Linked DNA regions of Drosophila melanogaster. The gene in region 1 interacts genetically with each later gene. Each region holds a gene or a part of one and is shown in the gene's direction. Other genes may lie near its edges.

Region 1 (7,806 bases):
TAATTCAAATTAAATCCAACTCTTATAATATCTAAGTCGTATAATTTGTTTACAAACAACTTTATTTTGTTTACAACAAAATAAAAACTTATCCATTTGAAAAGCCGTTACTTAACGAATCGTGGTTACGGTCACACTACAGCGATCAGCTGTTGGCGACCGCACTATTTTGTTTATTCCATTTTGTTTGACCATGTCGGAAGCCGATGAAAAGTGTCACTTGTAAGTAGTTAACAAGTAATATTAATTATAGCGGTTCAATATATATTAATCTCCTGCAGCTGTCGCGAGGTGTCCTTCAAGTACACCTGTCCCAAGTGCAATGCTTTGTATTGCAGCGTGGGATGCTACAAGTCCAAGGAGCACCTTAAATGTTCCGAGGCTTTCTACAAGTCCTGCATTCAGGACGAGCTGACCCAAAACACGGTAACGCAGGAAAGCCAGGAGGACATGCGGAAAATATACGACATACTGAAGAGGATGAGAGAAACGGACAGTGGTTTCAATCCCCAGGAATTTGATACAGATGGCCTGGAAAATAGTTTGGACTCGGATGGAGGCGAGGAAGGAGAGTCAGAAGAAGATGAGGCGGAAGAAAACGTCACCGAGGGGGACATACTGGATGAAGACCTGGAGGAAGACATTGCAACTCGACTGAAAGGCGTTGATATCAACGATGCGGATGAAGTTTGGAGCCGGTTAACTACAGAGGAGCAAGATGAGTTCCAGAAATTGATCACCAATGGAGATATCATGAAGCTTATGCCAGACTACAAGCCCTGGTGGATCAAGCCGAAGAACTCTAAGATTGTGATTATACCTACACCCGAAGAAGCTGCCAAGAAAGAGAGCCGTGTTCCCGAAATTTTCGGGAGCATTGCCAAATTCTCCGATATATGCAAGAAAACTCCGTCTCCGTGCCTGCACTACAATTTGTGGAACATACTAAGCGCCTACGCCTGTGTGGCTCGTTTCTTTGGCGGCGAACAGAGGACCAATGCCAGCGAGGCAGTGGCCCACCTTGTCAATCTCAGCGCCACCTTAAAGTACGGCACCAACTTCGAGGATGCTGAGGACGCTATTGTCTCCGTAGAGATGGAAGCCATCACCACGGGTAATGGTCCTGCCGGCGCGGCTGCAGTTGGAAGTGCTGCAGGAGGTGCCAATTTCCTCGTCGACAACAGGGAGCAGCTGCAGCAGGATGCCCGCCAGTTGATGGCTACGAAGGAGCACAAGTTGGCCGCCCTTAGTGATGTTCTCTATCTGCTGCAGCAGACGAAGGCAATCAGTCGCCGTAAGAATACCCAGGAAGCCGAGTTCCAGAAGCTGTTCGCTTTGGCCAGCGGAAGTGTGCAATTGGATCGCACCAAACTGGCGCAACTGGTTCGCAAAATCGAGTTTATGCTGTCGTATGTGGCGCGGGAAGAAGTCCTTTAAGCAATCCTCTAAAATAAACATTTCAAAATAATTCTGTTTTTATATTGTCCACAAAATTTGGAGCGGTATTGACTATAGATTGATTGTTATTTTATTGTTTTATTTTACTTGGAATTTAAATACAACTATGTATAATTAGTGTACACATTTTGATTGGAAACTTCAGTATTTTAAGGACTTAAAGAACAAATTGGTTTAAGTAAAACTTGACTTTGTGCTAGTACTGTAACTAGTACTTAAAAATATGTACAGATGTCTTAAAAATAAATGTATATCCTAAATACATTTCGGTATTTTTGTATTCGTATGGAGCGGTATTTTCAGCTAGCCGCGAGGTGTATTTGAATGGTCGCGAAACGGTCACACCTCACATAGTTTTTTTAGTTGGCGATTCCAGACACACACTCGAGTTGTAGTGCTTTTTTACGCTATTTTGTTATTGGTAGGTTGTCGCCCTGCTTCGGTATGAACAAGTGCCAGAGACCCAAAGCCAAGGATTATTTAACAACCATTTAAATGCAGTGCAGCTGCAGCAGCAGCAACAACAAAAGCGATCGCAATTTAGAACAGAACATTTCATGTAAACGCGTTTGGGTGTAGCGGAATTTCGCTTCCCGTGTGTTTGTGTGACCTAGCCGAGCGTGTGTGCGTGTCGGTGTGCGTCTGGCAACAACAAAATCCAATCGGCCAGCAAGTGCTCTTCGTACGCTTCGCCTGCTAAAAATTAGTGCACAGCGAAAGCATTTTAATAGCAGCGCCCCAAGAAAACCTTATGTAAGGTGTGCTGGAAAACGATGCAAATATTTACAGTAGAAACGGTCGAGACAAGTTCAATCTCAAAGATAAACGAGTTTCTTGGTTGTTTGGCGGAGGGGGATTTCTTATCGCCTAAGTGTGCGACGTGTTGGTTTAGATGTGCATATACGTATGTGTGTGTGTGTGTGTGGCGCGAGTGCTTGTGAGAGCGCCGTAAAGGTGCTTATCTATCTCCACAAATATGCGAAGTATGCGTCAACCTGTTTGTAAACTTTCTGCTGGCCATTTCCACACGCAAAACACGAAAATCGCACTGAGCCGCGATCCTATATTTATATTTATAGCCGATGATGGGGAAAATCCGTAAGCGCATCGTGAGTCGATGACGCCCAAATCAAGTCAACCCAAGATACAAGATTCCACATTCAGCAGACCCAACATCACCAATCTACACATGTGTGTAGGTGATTAAACTTCAGCAGAGGTTATTATACATATATAAATAAGAAAGCATGTATATAACCGGTCAATGCTGCTGATAACATAACCGTTATTCACCATACGGGTGTGTGCGAGTGGAACTCAAACTGACTGCATTGTTTACAAACAGCTGATGCAGGGAAACTCCACTCCACTGATAAGATACCAAGATTTCCCATCGCCGAGTATGAAAAAATTTAGCTCGCTACACAGAGAGAATTGAAATGTTAAATGTTGTCACACGTAAGGGTCTCCAATACGATGTACACTGCTGCTCTTAGGTTAGACGCACAATCGTTTTTTTTTTAACAAAATCGATCATTTATTTGCATGCTTTTTTTAATTGTCCAAAATGCTTTTCTTATCAAAGTTTTCTGTTGGTCATTGAATTAGATGCAGCTTAAATTTCTTCGTATTGCGTGGACAAGTATAAACTGTTGTATTGAAAAAATATAACAAATAAACGAATAAAGTGTTTTCGAGCTACATTTGAAGAAAAAATGGGTAAAGCTGCTGCTTATTGGAACGTCAAAAAGTAGACTTCCTACACTCGCAAGGATTGCCTAATCGGAACATTGCCAAACAGATAAATCGCAGCTGCAGAACTGTTGATAGATATTTGAAGGTTCCAGAGGCATATGGGAATAACTTCAAAGGAAAGAAAAAAGCACTATCAAAGCAAGCAGAACGCCAAATTGTTAGAATTGCTTCGAATTCTAATTTTCGAATTTGTCCGGAGTAAAAACAAGCGTATCAACTGTTCAGCGTACAATCAGAAATGCAGAACACCTGAAGCGTGTATGTATATTAAATTTCAAATTCAATTTTTGGGATCTCATTTATCTGGGTTACAAAATATGGGTGCATGAGAATTCCCTTGATAAGATGAAACTATTACGGTGGAAAATGTATGCTACACAGAAAGAAAATCTGTCAACATTATCTATTTATCTCAAAAAACAGAAATAATATTTGAAAGCGATACTAAAAATAATCGAATTCAAAATAAATTACAAATATTTATTTATCTTAATATGGTTAAAAATATGTTTATTTTTTAGTTTCGAAGAAAATTTTTTCAATTAAAATAAGACATTACCTTAATATTCCAATTTGAAAATAGTAAACCCATTGGCAGAACACCATGCAAAGTTGCACAATGAGTCAGGGGTGATAAGTCCAGTCTTTATCAATGGGGACACTCGGCGAAACCGTCAAGAAATATGGTCGTTGATAAGGCTCCAGTAATTAAAGTTCTGCCTGTTGCATCAATGTGAAGGAATTTCTTAATTGAACAAATTAGGCAAACAATAAATTTACTCAGAGCCCGTCTCGTTTGGGTTTACTATAGTATGTCGTTTAACAAACGATTTGTTGGTCTTAGCCAAACACTACAAAAATACAAGTTTGCGTATAAACAAAGAGCTTTTTGTTGTTGCTGCTGTGTGGAAGTTGTTTATGTCTGCAGTGTCTATTTACGTAACAAAACTCATATTTTACGATTATTGCGCTTAAGCCCGTCGTATGTGATTGATTAATATTGATTGGAATCCACAGGAAATGTCCCACCACAGCGATGATCAGCTCCTCCAGGCTGGAAGCGATTCCTTCTGGGAGCCCGGCAACTACAAACGCACCACCAAGCGGATCGAGGATGGTTACAAGTGAGTGGATAATCCCCAGGGAGTCTTGGTGCACAGAGAGATACTTTATTTTGCCATTATGTCAGTCGAATTCCTCGACATAATACAATTGGCTTAATATTCAAAAACATATTCGTAGCTGCAACCCAATCGTTTTTCAACGTTTCTGTCATACCAATTGGTATTGGTAACTGTATCTTTTCTGTGTGTTTAGTAGGTCATGCAGTGTCATCACATTGTTTTGAATGCAAACTTACAGCAATTCGTATTTATTTAAGGGAAAAAAATAAGAAAATATAAAGACCTTGGTATAAGCATTGGTCTTAGTATTAACTCAATTTGTTCTACTTATGTGGACATTTCATAAACTTTTTTAATGAGCTTTGATTTCTAGTGATACAATCAATCTTTTTAAGCAAATAGGTAATGGGTTCTCTCTGTGTATTTGCACTGGGCGACGCTGGGTCATTGCCAGCCGAATATATCGACACCCGAAGCCCAAACCCAAGACAAAAATTCAAACCGGTTTGCATTATTATGATTCTTGTCTCATTTCGCCCGCAGACTCTGCAATGACCTACAGCAACTGATTCAGGAGCGTGCCGACATCGAGAAGGGATATGCGAAAAGCCTGCGCACCTGGTCAAAGAAATGGGGTGAACTCATTGAGAAAGGTAAGTGAGCGGCAGGTGGGGATCTGGTGAGATATGGGGATGTGGGTGGCTGTGGCCTGTGGGATGAGACATCATCAGTCGTGGAAGCCTTCTGTTGGCCAACACATTCATTCACGAGCTAAAAGCCCAGTGGAGCATCAAGTGACCCGCTCACGTTGAATTCCCACCACTTATTTGGCCCACTGGCTGTTCTTATTTTCTACATTCTGTACATCATTCTGAGCATTGTTGTTGCCGTTGTGCGATAAGTGGCTTAAGCTATTAATGGTTTTTTTTACGTTTTTCGTTACCTCGTTTTTGTCGGTTGTATTCTGCAAAAGCTGCGCACTGTGGTTCAAAATCGCCACACCAATTTATTTAAGTATGTTAATGAGCGGGGCTGGCAAAGTGTTTGGATTAACTAACATAAACATATGCATACACTCTTCACACTCTTCATTCTAAACAATTAAAATTCGGCAGCGGAAATCTTAAGTTTGTACAAGAGAAAATAATAAATAAATAAAGAATCAAATATCTGTGGGTTTCTGCTTTATAGTAATATACAATTTTTATTTTTTGATATATAAGTTATATGGGTTCTTAAGGTTTTATTACCTTGCTATTGCCTCATATATGTACTTCTATAAGTACACACTACCAAATACTATTTTCGAAAACGGCGGTAATCATCGACTCACTCATTGTTTTCGGAATTGGGTCTTTGACCATTTTTAGCGGATGTCCGGCACAGTGTGCGCGCTTCTTCGTAAAATGAAATCGAGTACAGCGCTTGCGAAGTTGGAAACCGCTTTGCCCCATTGGTACTGTTTGCTTCTATTGCTGCTATTTTCTGTGACCGCCTCTGCACGGAATTCTCAGTGTCCACTTTCACAGTAACCAGCGATGGGCAATTGCAAAAGCGACTACCATCACTTCCTCCGCCTCCGAGTGCTCTTCGAGTTTTCTTATTTGCGAGGAATTTGCCTAGCCGCGTCTAGCCAAAGATACAGATACGAATACGTGTGCAGATACAAATACAGATACAGATACGTTCACAGTTACAGATACGGAGACTGGGAGGCAGAAGCGCTGGACAGTGGCCCATAACTCGGCACCAAAGCAAACCGGCACCAGAGCGTCGCTTGAAATGGTTTCAAAAATCAATGCGACGAGAAAATAGAACGAGTTATTTGTGTGCTAAGCGTCTCAATTTCTATATATCTGTTTGTGTGCCTTTTCACAGGGGGAATTGGGAATAGTGAGTCGTTAGGCAAACGAGTTCCGTGCACTGCCAATTATAAGACGAGCATCATATCAACTTGATTGCCGTGTGTTTGGGGTCCCAATAAAAAATGCCAAAAATGTACGATGTTCCTCCATCGCAGCACCCATACAAGCGCTTATTCTTCGGGCATTTTATATTTGCTATACCTATAGATATGGCTACATATGTATGTTTGTATATATCTTGCGGCTGCGGCTGATTAGATAAACCAAGTACCCGCGGGGCTCACGATGACGTCAGCCGCAAACAGCTCGACAGGGTGACACGCTTGTAATCTGTTGTTAATTGAGAAACGCTAAAAGAGATATATAACGAATGTCTGATTTGTTTCAGGCCCGGAATACGGAACCACGGAGGCAGCCTGGAAGGGCGTTCTGACGGAATCGGAACGCATCTCCGACGTTCACATGAAGATCAAGGACAATCTCTGCAACGATGTGAACAGCCAGATAAAGACGTGGCAGAAGGAGAACTACCACCACACGCTTATGCAGATCAAGGAGCGCAAGGACCTGGAGGATCTGTTCAAGAAGGCCCAGAAACCCTGGGCCAAGCTGCTGGCAAAGGTCGAGAAGGCCAAAGCGGACTACCATTCGGCCTGCAAGACGGAGCGCAGTGCTACCAATCAGGAACGCAATGCCAATGCCGATAGCTCGTTGTCGCCGGATCAGGTAAGGATCTTTTTTGTAAAAGCAATAGTTTAGTTATACATATGTATGTATAACTATTAATTTAATTTATTTATTAATTTTATGCTCACACCACTTCTCATTTCCTAATTAGGTGAAGAAAATGCACGATCGAGTGCAAAAGACCAAAGATCAAGTGCAAAAGTGCCGGGAAAAGTACGAGCAGGCGATTGCCGAAATCACCAAATACAATTCGGTGTACATCGAGGACATGACATCCGTGTTTGAAAAGTGCCAAACCTTTGAGAAGACGCGTTTGCAGTTCTTCAAAGAAATCCTGTTCAACGTGCACTCGTGCCTGGACCTCACAAAAGTGCAAAGGTGCGAATTGAATTTGATTTGAGTTTAACTGATCCATTTAAATAACTTTTACATGACTTACAGCCTGCCCCAAATCTACGAGGAGTTCTCCCACACGATCAACAATGCAGACCAGCAGAAAGACCTAAAATGGTGGTCGAACAATCATGGCATTAACATGGCCATGAATTGGCCATCATTTGTGGTGAGTTTTCTGTTTTTACTGAAGCCCAGTGTGGCCGCTAATGGAAGAACTTCCTATTTGTTGACAGGAATATACGGAGGAGTTCCGTGACATTGCCAAGGGCAACAAATCAAAAGAGGCACTGCCGGCAGCACCCATCACGCTCATCAACCAGCGACCTGTGGCCGAGGATGTGCACGTAAGCCAGTTGACTACCCAGTAGTTAATATCAGACTAAGCCAGCTCTTTAGCAGGAATACCCCCAGACAAACAGCCTGAAGAAGAACACCAGCACCTTGAGCAGTGTCAGCAGCAGAGCGAGTGTGAAGAGCGAAATAGCGACCACGCAATCCTCAGTCACCACATCGGAAGCCAA
Region 2 (7,861 bases), about 10 Mb from region 1:
GAATCACACTTTTCGCGTGGGCGACTGCGGTCCTTTGACGCAGGACTTTATGAATCAGCTGCGCATTCTGGTCTACATACGCGAGGACATCGTCTCCTACCACACGGATGTCAAGCAGGGCGTCTCTCGGGATCCCACCTATCGTTGTGGCAGTGGCATTGACATGGACGAGCTGCGCGAGTCCATTAATCAGACAATGACAGATGTCTCTGGCCTTATAGGTCGGTATAGCATCAGCAATGCGGAGTTTGACATCGAAGATGTGGTGCAGAGGGCCAAGGTTCGCCAGCTCACGGATCTAACCGATAAGCTTTGGGAGCTGCTCAAGTGCTGCCACTCCTACAAGGATCTCAAAATTGCCTTTAGTATGCTCTTCCAATGTGCTGCACGGTGTAACATAGTAGTAAGTATGCTAATGCATGCAAACCACCACATATTATTCATGTTCCTCACCCCATAGAACACGCCTACTAACAAAAATCGACTTGCCAAGATTATCACCGAGTTGGCCAACCGTCGTCTGGCCATGCCTTGTTTAAGTGGGGCCGAGCCTCTGGAACTGCTTTTGGAAATTGGCCTGGAGAAGTTGTACAAGGACTACGAGTTTATCTACACCGAGAGCAAGATGTGCAGCACCAATCTGTTGAAGGATGACTCCAGCGGAGCGTCGATGGACGATGGTTCTCCCCAGAATCTGCCCCAGCTTCGAAAATCCCTGCACAATGCGGTCAGGGGTGATCCGACCCCTGGAGCTGGAATGCGAAAGACGCTGCTGCATCATCACGGCGCTGTCAATTCGCGGAGTACAAAATATGCCGGTAGCGACGATGATGCTGGGTTCAAAAACAGCCATTTCGACGAGCACGAGAGTACGGAGAGAATCTCAAAGTTGTTTCAGATTCACTGCACCTTAGAGCATCTCCTGATGATGCACATCCACTTAAATCTGGCAAATGGTAAGAAGGACAAAAAGCAGATCCTGGGATTTTTAGCTATAACTCCGTTTTTGACCTACAGTTTACAACGATGTCTGTTCTGAATTGCTGAAGAAACCGCCTAAATTAGTAGAATCCATCGATGATCAGCTAAGTGATGTTATGGACATTCGCCTGTCTGCCCACTATGTGAGGGATCACTTGGATGGCAAGGATCCCTACTCCCGGCACATTACCATGCGTTCGCACAACAAGTTCCGCGAACTAAAGACCACCTTCTATTTCAATTCGGAAAACATTTGTCCGCCGAACTTGGCTCAGTGTTTCCAGTGTGATGGTAAGTTTGCTTTTTGACTTGTTTATTTTCTATAGCTATGGTAATATATTTGACTTCGCAGACAAGGAGATGGTCAAGGAGCGCACATATCATTCCTGGATATATCACAAGATTCGCTCACTTAAGTAAGGCTTGCTTAGTAATACAAAATTGTACATTCTTTAAATTTAAGCATGGCTAAGAATGGTTTAAAATGGCCTTTTTCACATTGTAATAATTTATTTAATGGATATCTAGCAAGAATGTCCCTTAGCTGCATAATGTTTTGAGACACATTTAAAATGTTGAATTTTTTCAAACACTGCTTGTTGTATTATTAAATTAAATGCCTTTTGGTTATAACTTTTCAAACTTTTTTTCTATCGAACCTTTTTGTTCGGAATTTTAATTGTTTGAGCTTGTTGAACACGCTCTTCGACGCGTTTTCGCAAACCTCCAAAAAAGTCAGCAGTGCACACCGAAATCATGTTAAACGAACTCGTACAAGTTTTAAGCCGACCCAGAGGCTATTGCAGCTGCATTGGGAATCTTGAAAACCTGGCCGAAATCCGCTTCCGCCCTGCTCGCACTTTTATCACAGTGTTTTTGCCGGCCATATTCTATACAAAGGTCAGCATGACCAGCATTTGGCCATTCCTCCAGTGAAGTAATGCTGCAAATGAGGCGAAAAGAGTGTGTGCCCAATGGTGACGGCGCCATCGAGCATTCCCGATATGTTACAATCCAATTAGCCGGATGCGCCAGTTGGCCAACTAGAGTACTTGGCCCGTCGCTGATTGATTTGCAGTTTGTCAGACGTGCGTGGAACGCGCAGCGGTTCGGTCGTGTTTTTTCCAGCCCTGTTTTTCCCCTGAAAAGCGAACGGAATTTCAAGCAAGGATTTCCACGCGAGTGTCCTGGCCAGGGAATATAGCCACTGGGAGCTGGAAATCAAATCAAATTTTTTGGACAGTTGACTAAAGAGTGAAGAGTGAACAGTGCCCGTGAAATCTTAATTAAGTTTGTTTAAATCGCCAAGTGTCGCGAGTGTCTAATTTAATTTACAGCAAAATGGTGTGTATTGGCCAACAAAATGGCCTGATATCCTGCTAAACTAAATCTAAATTGCTATTGAACTACAAAAGAGGACATTTGATAATCTATGCGAGTAGCCCTTGAAGTGCCTAAGTCTTGCGACTTAAAAAAAACCATGGACGGATTCAAATCCTGTGAAATGAAGACACCCCTTTGGTCTAGTCACCCCTGAACTTATCCTCGGAAACTTTTCCAGACACAACAGCTAATCCTTTTGCGAAGTCGTAGTGAAACTGCTAACAGGCTTGAGAAGCCATATTAAAAGTAAAAAGTTAAACGTCCTGCTGACGTTTTCATAATCTATTTAGCTGAGAAAAAACTGATCCTTTGCAATGCGGGCTAGAATTCAATTAAAGGATATTATTTAATGGATACTATTTTAAGATGATAAACCTATATCGTTCTATAGATATCTATGGATACTATAAAGCTGGTTGGAAAACTTTCTCTTGTGACTAAGTGCTAGTCTTCCTATAATTAGTCATCCCAGTACCCAGTACATTATCCATTCTATCCCTAGGGCCTCGAATTTTTCTTTAAGTTCGGCTATGCCTTCCTGACTATAACGCTCATGATCATGATCTGGATGTCGCTGGCTCGCGCCTCCATGTTCGATCGCGAGATGGAGGAGACGCATTACCCGCCCTGCACCTACAACGTGATGTGCACCTGCTCCAAGTCCTCCACGGATCTGGGGATAGTGCACTGCAAGAATGTTCCGTTTCCGGCACTGCCGCGCATGGTGAACCAGTCAAAGGTGAGTCGTAAGATTAGCTATCTCCATAAATCAACACTTTTAGTTCTGGTCATACCCATTTAATTACCCATAACCACCACCACATTAATTTATTAACTCCGATAACTGGAATGTATTCTGGTTTAGGTTTTCATGCTGCACATGGAGAACACAGGTCTGCGGGAGATTGAGCCCTACTTCCTGCAGTCCACGGGCATGTACCGCCTAAAGATCTCTGGGAACCATCTCACCGAGATCCCAGATGATGCCTTCACCGGCCTGGAGCGATCGCTGTGGGAGCTGATTCTGCCGCAGAACGACCTGGTGGAGATCCCGTCCAAGTCCCTGAGGCACCTGCAGAAGCTGCGTCATCTGGACCTGGGCTACAACCACATAACGCACATTCAGCACGACTCGTTCCGCGGCCTGGAGGACTCGCTGCAGACGCTGATCCTGCGCGAGAACTGCATATCGCAGCTGATGTCGCACAGCTTCTCCGGGCTCCTCATTCTTGAGACCCTCGACCTGAGTGGGAACAACCTGTTCGAGATCGATCCGAATGTGTTCGTCGATGGAATGCCGAGGCTGACCCGTCTGTTGCTCACGGACAATATCCTCTCGGAGATTCCGTACGACGCCCTGGGTCCGCTAAAGAGCCTTCGCACCCTAGATATCTCCCACAATGTGATCTGGTCGCTCAGTGGCAACGAAACCTACGAGATCAAGGCCAGCACCAAGCTGAATCTGGACAATCTACACCTGGAGTACAATCACATCGAGGTCCTGCCTCCCAATTCATTCAAGTACTTCGATACCGTCAACCGCACCTTCTTCGATGGCAATCCCATTCACACTCTGAGGGTAGGTTAACTAACCCTTGTGAAACTTAACTGGACGAAAATCCCTCCCAGAAATTTGATTTATAAATAACATATTTGGAACTTACGGTTCGCTTTCAGGAAGATGCATTTAAGCCCGCTCGAATCAGGGAGATCTACATGCGCTACTGCGGCCTGACCAACATTTCGCCTGTGGCCTTTGACAGCCTGGTGAACAGCCTCCAGATCCTGGATTTGTCTGGCAACAATCTCACCAAGCTGCATCATAAGCTCTTCAACAATTTCGATGTCTTGAGGTGAGTCGAGCACCTGCACTCCGATTCACTCACGTTCTGCCCCCATTCCATTTGCACATGTGCATATTGGGGGGAACTAATCGGATTGCCGGCAGCCTCTAAGGCTTCTCAAGTTCCTAAGTTCGTGTGTGCGACAAGTGGGTGACCCTATTTAAAAGAATTCGAGGAAGAGGGAAAAGCCGCGCAATCAGGCAATCTTGCAAAAATACGCGGCACTGAGAAAAAGCTTGATTTGCATAGCTATTATTGAATTTTATAATGGTAAATTATAATTCTATACATTTATTTCTTAATAATAGGGTCATCAGCATGCGGGACAATAAGATCAAGATCCAGAAGCCCACGGAGACCTTCAATGCGGTGCACTACACCCTCCTGAAATTGGACCTGAGTGGAGACCGCAACGACCCCACCAATCTGCAGACCCTGCGCAAGTAAGTGAACCCAGTGCACCGAGAAACATCCTGCTCCCCACACACCCTTCACCCCAGAACCACTCTTGTATTTATTTACAAAAAGTATGACCAGAATGCGGAACATGAGATCACTGTCGATCTCGCGCCTGGGATCCTCCTCCGTGGGACCCGAGGACTTCAAGGACTTCGGCGTGGAGCTGGAGGATCTGCAGATCACCAGGGCCAGTCTCTCCGGGATTCAATCGCACGCCTTCAAGCACGTTAGGGGTCTGAAAAGGCTGGACTTTAGCGAGAACGGAATATCAAGCATAGAGAACGATGCCTTCCATGAGGTTATTCAGGATTTTCTTAATATAATTGGGCTCACTTAATAAAAAAATCTATTTTTTAGATTGGTCACTCGCTCATCTCTCTGAAGATGTCGCACGGCTATTCTGGCAGTGCCCTGCCAGCTGAACCCCTAAGGCATCTGACCTCCCTCCAAGAGCTGGACTTTAGCAACAATCACATCAGCAGCATGAGCGACACCAGTTTCCATTTCCTGAAGAACTTGCGGCTCCTAGAGCTTCATGACAACAGGATCGAGCAGGTTTTAAAGGGCACCTTCCAGGGCGACATTCACTCAAAGCTGGAGGAGATCTCGCTTCGCTTCAACCACCTGACCTCCATATCCCAGCATACCTTCTTCGATCTGGAAGCCTTGAGGAAACTGCATCTGGATGACAATAAGATTGACAAGATCGAGCGAAGAGCCTTTATGAACCTGGATGAGCTGGAGTATCTAAGCTTGAGGGGCAACAAGATAAACAACCTGGCCGACGAGTCCTTCCAGAACCTACCGAAACTGGAGATCCTGGACATGGCCTTCAATCAGCTACCCAACTTCAACTTTGACTACTTCGACCAAGTGGGTACCCTTTCGAATCTTAATGTGAACGTGAGCCACAATCAAATCAGGCAGTTGATGTACAATTCCTCGTGGAGTGGACGAAATGAACATGGTAGGGTCTTCTTTACTAGCAAATCTCCAGTTTGTTAATAGCTTCACTATACAGGTGGCATGTACCACTCGAATATTAAGATATTGGATCTTTCCCACAACAATATATCTATTATCCATCCTGGATACTTCCGGCCTGCTGAAATTTCGCTGACACACCTACATCTGGGCTACAATTCGCTGATGGTAAAACAAATTGTATGACTTTGTTACCAGCCTTTTATACCCTTTGACCCTTTAGAACACGACTCGTGATGTCTTCGGCAACATGCCCCACTTGCAATGGCTGGACCTCAGCTACAACTGGATCCACGAACTGGACTTTGATGCCTTCAAGAACACCAAACAGCTCCAGCTGGTCTTCTTTGGCCACAATTACCTCAGTGACATTCCCCAGGATATATTCAAACCTGTCCAAGGCCTGCGCATCGTTGACTTCTCGCATAATCACCTGAGGGGCCTGCCCGACAATCTCTTCTACAACGGAGGCATGGAAAAGTGAGTAAATAACTATATAGTCAATGTATGGACATAATGTATTCGTGACTCTTAAAGATTGGATGTGTCGCACAACATGATGTTGAAGATCCCCTCCTCATCGCTGTCCAGTTTGGCTGCGCTGACGCTTTGTGAACTGCACCTGTCCAACAACTTTATCTCTACCATTCACAGCATGGATTTGTCCAACAAGTTTAGAGTAAGTGAATTGGTAAAACCGTTTAAAATTATAAGACACAATCTTAATTGTGACTATAGTCCCTGCGCTACCTGGACATCTCATACAACTATCTGCTGCGAATTGATGATGCAGTGTTCGCCACCATGCCAAAACTGGCCGTTCTGGACCTCTCCCACAATCGGGATCTGAAGGTGATGGATAAGTCGTTTATGGGCTTGGAGAACTCGCTGATCAAACTGGGCCTGGAGAACATTTCTCTGAGCACGGTGCCCGAGATTCGACTGAAGTATCTGCGGGAGTTCCGCCTGGGTTACAATGAGCTGCCCTCGATTCCGCAGGAACTAGCCCACAATATGAGTAATCTGCGCATGCTTGATCTCTCCAACAACGACTTGACCAATGTGCCACTGATGACCCAAGCTCTGCCCCACTTGAGGTGCGTTAATCCAACTTGGTAAATGGTCTATCTAATCAGTATTTGCAATTTACAACAGACGTCTGATGCTTTCTGGCAATCCCATAACCTCGCTGAACAACAACAGTTTTGATGGCGTGAACGAGGATCTTGAGATGCTGGATATATCGAATTTCCGGCTGCACTACTTCGAGTATGGCTGTTTGGACTCGTTGCCTCACTTGCGATCGCTTAAGCTCACTGCCTATTCCCACCTGGAGCACTTTAATATTCCACATCTGTTGCGCCACCATTACAATATCCGCCAGTTGTGGATCGAGGCCCCACAGCCCTTCACTCGCATTGTTAAGAAGGGATCTGGACCCACCCAGGAGATGCAGACCCTTCAGCTGGGCAATCCCACCGACTTGCAGCGCGAAATGGAGGGCCATCTGCCCTCCAAGCTGACCAACATCACCTTCAGTGGTCCCCAGTTCACCAACCTGAATGAACGCATTCTAAGAGTGAGTAATTCTTCCAACTCGATGTCTATATAAGCTAAAAATTATATATTTAATTTGATCCAGGGCATGCGTTCTCCATACCTCTACATGCAATTATTCAATACCTCGCTGCAAGCCTTGCCTCCGAACTTTTTTAAGTACATGGGCCGAGTTCGGAACATTTCGCTGGACATTCGCTACCACAACAGGAACCTGAAGAAGATTCCCAATCCAAACACTGGAGCTGTTCCCTATCTGCCGAATAGTGTGTTCCTCACGGACTTGAAGATGTCTCACACCGATCTCAACTGCGATTGCGACCTAGGGTAACGCCTGGTTTTCTTATTGTACGATATTGAATTGCAAATTATAATTTGTTTGTATAGGTGGGTGGAGTTTTGGCAGCGCAAGAGGCGCCAGTACATCTGCTCCTCCCAAACCTGGACCGATACCGTCTTCCGCACCTTCATGAACTCACCTTGCCAAGTGTACGGACGTCACAACTGCGACGAACACGACGATGACCTGAGGGAGACGCGCTGTGAGAACAAAGGAGGGCAACAGCTGATGGAGGTGGGTATCCGATGGAATATTGCCAAGGCATATGTCGCTAATCGCTAATCGCTATCCCTCGATAGGCCCTCAAATTCGA

Evidence for each region. A genetic interaction does not mean that the proteins touch.
Region 2: of Synd (region 1) and chp, changing one enhances a phenotype caused by changing the other (phenotypic enhancement), as found in Drosophila melanogaster (one study listed by BioGRID).

The regions. Positions count from the first base shown.
Region 1 is NT_033777.3:20,830,995-20,838,800, forward strand, and holds the start of Synd (syndapin), read left to right. Parts: upstream 1-1,804; 5' UTR 1,805-1,879; intron 1,880-3,402; exon of another isoform or gene 3,403-3,471; intron 3,472-4,230; 5' UTR 4,231-4,233; coding exon 4,234-4,337; intron 4,338-4,880; coding exon 4,881-4,990; intron 4,991-6,590; coding exon 6,591-6,928; intron 6,929-7,040; coding exon 7,041-7,267; intron 7,268-7,330; coding exon 7,331-7,451; intron 7,452-7,518; coding exon 7,519-7,629; intron 7,630-7,681; coding exon 7,682-7,806. Other genes in the region: CG31223 (uncharacterized protein), read left to right, coding at 194-222, 282-1,437.
Region 2 is NT_033777.3:31,204,725-31,212,585, reverse strand, and holds the start of chp (chaoptin), read left to right. Parts: upstream 1-1,855; 5' UTR 1,856-2,322; coding exon 2,323-2,325; intron 2,326-2,866; coding exon 2,867-3,103; intron 3,104-3,229; coding exon 3,230-3,943; intron 3,944-4,041; coding exon 4,042-4,217; intron 4,218-4,516; coding exon 4,517-4,651; intron 4,652-4,736; coding exon 4,737-4,965; intron 4,966-5,024; coding exon 5,025-5,634; intron 5,635-5,688; coding exon 5,689-5,819; intron 5,820-5,874; coding exon 5,875-6,131; intron 6,132-6,188; coding exon 6,189-6,330; intron 6,331-6,389; coding exon 6,390-6,748; intron 6,749-6,806; coding exon 6,807-7,230; intron 7,231-7,293; coding exon 7,294-7,535; intron 7,536-7,595; coding exon 7,596-7,782; intron 7,783-7,847; coding exon 7,848-7,861. Other genes in the region: zwilch, read left to right, coding at 1-403, 461-956, 1,018-1,272, 1,334-1,401. UniProt on the Drosophila melanogaster protein: Required for photoreceptor cell morphogenesis. Mediates homophilic cellular adhesion.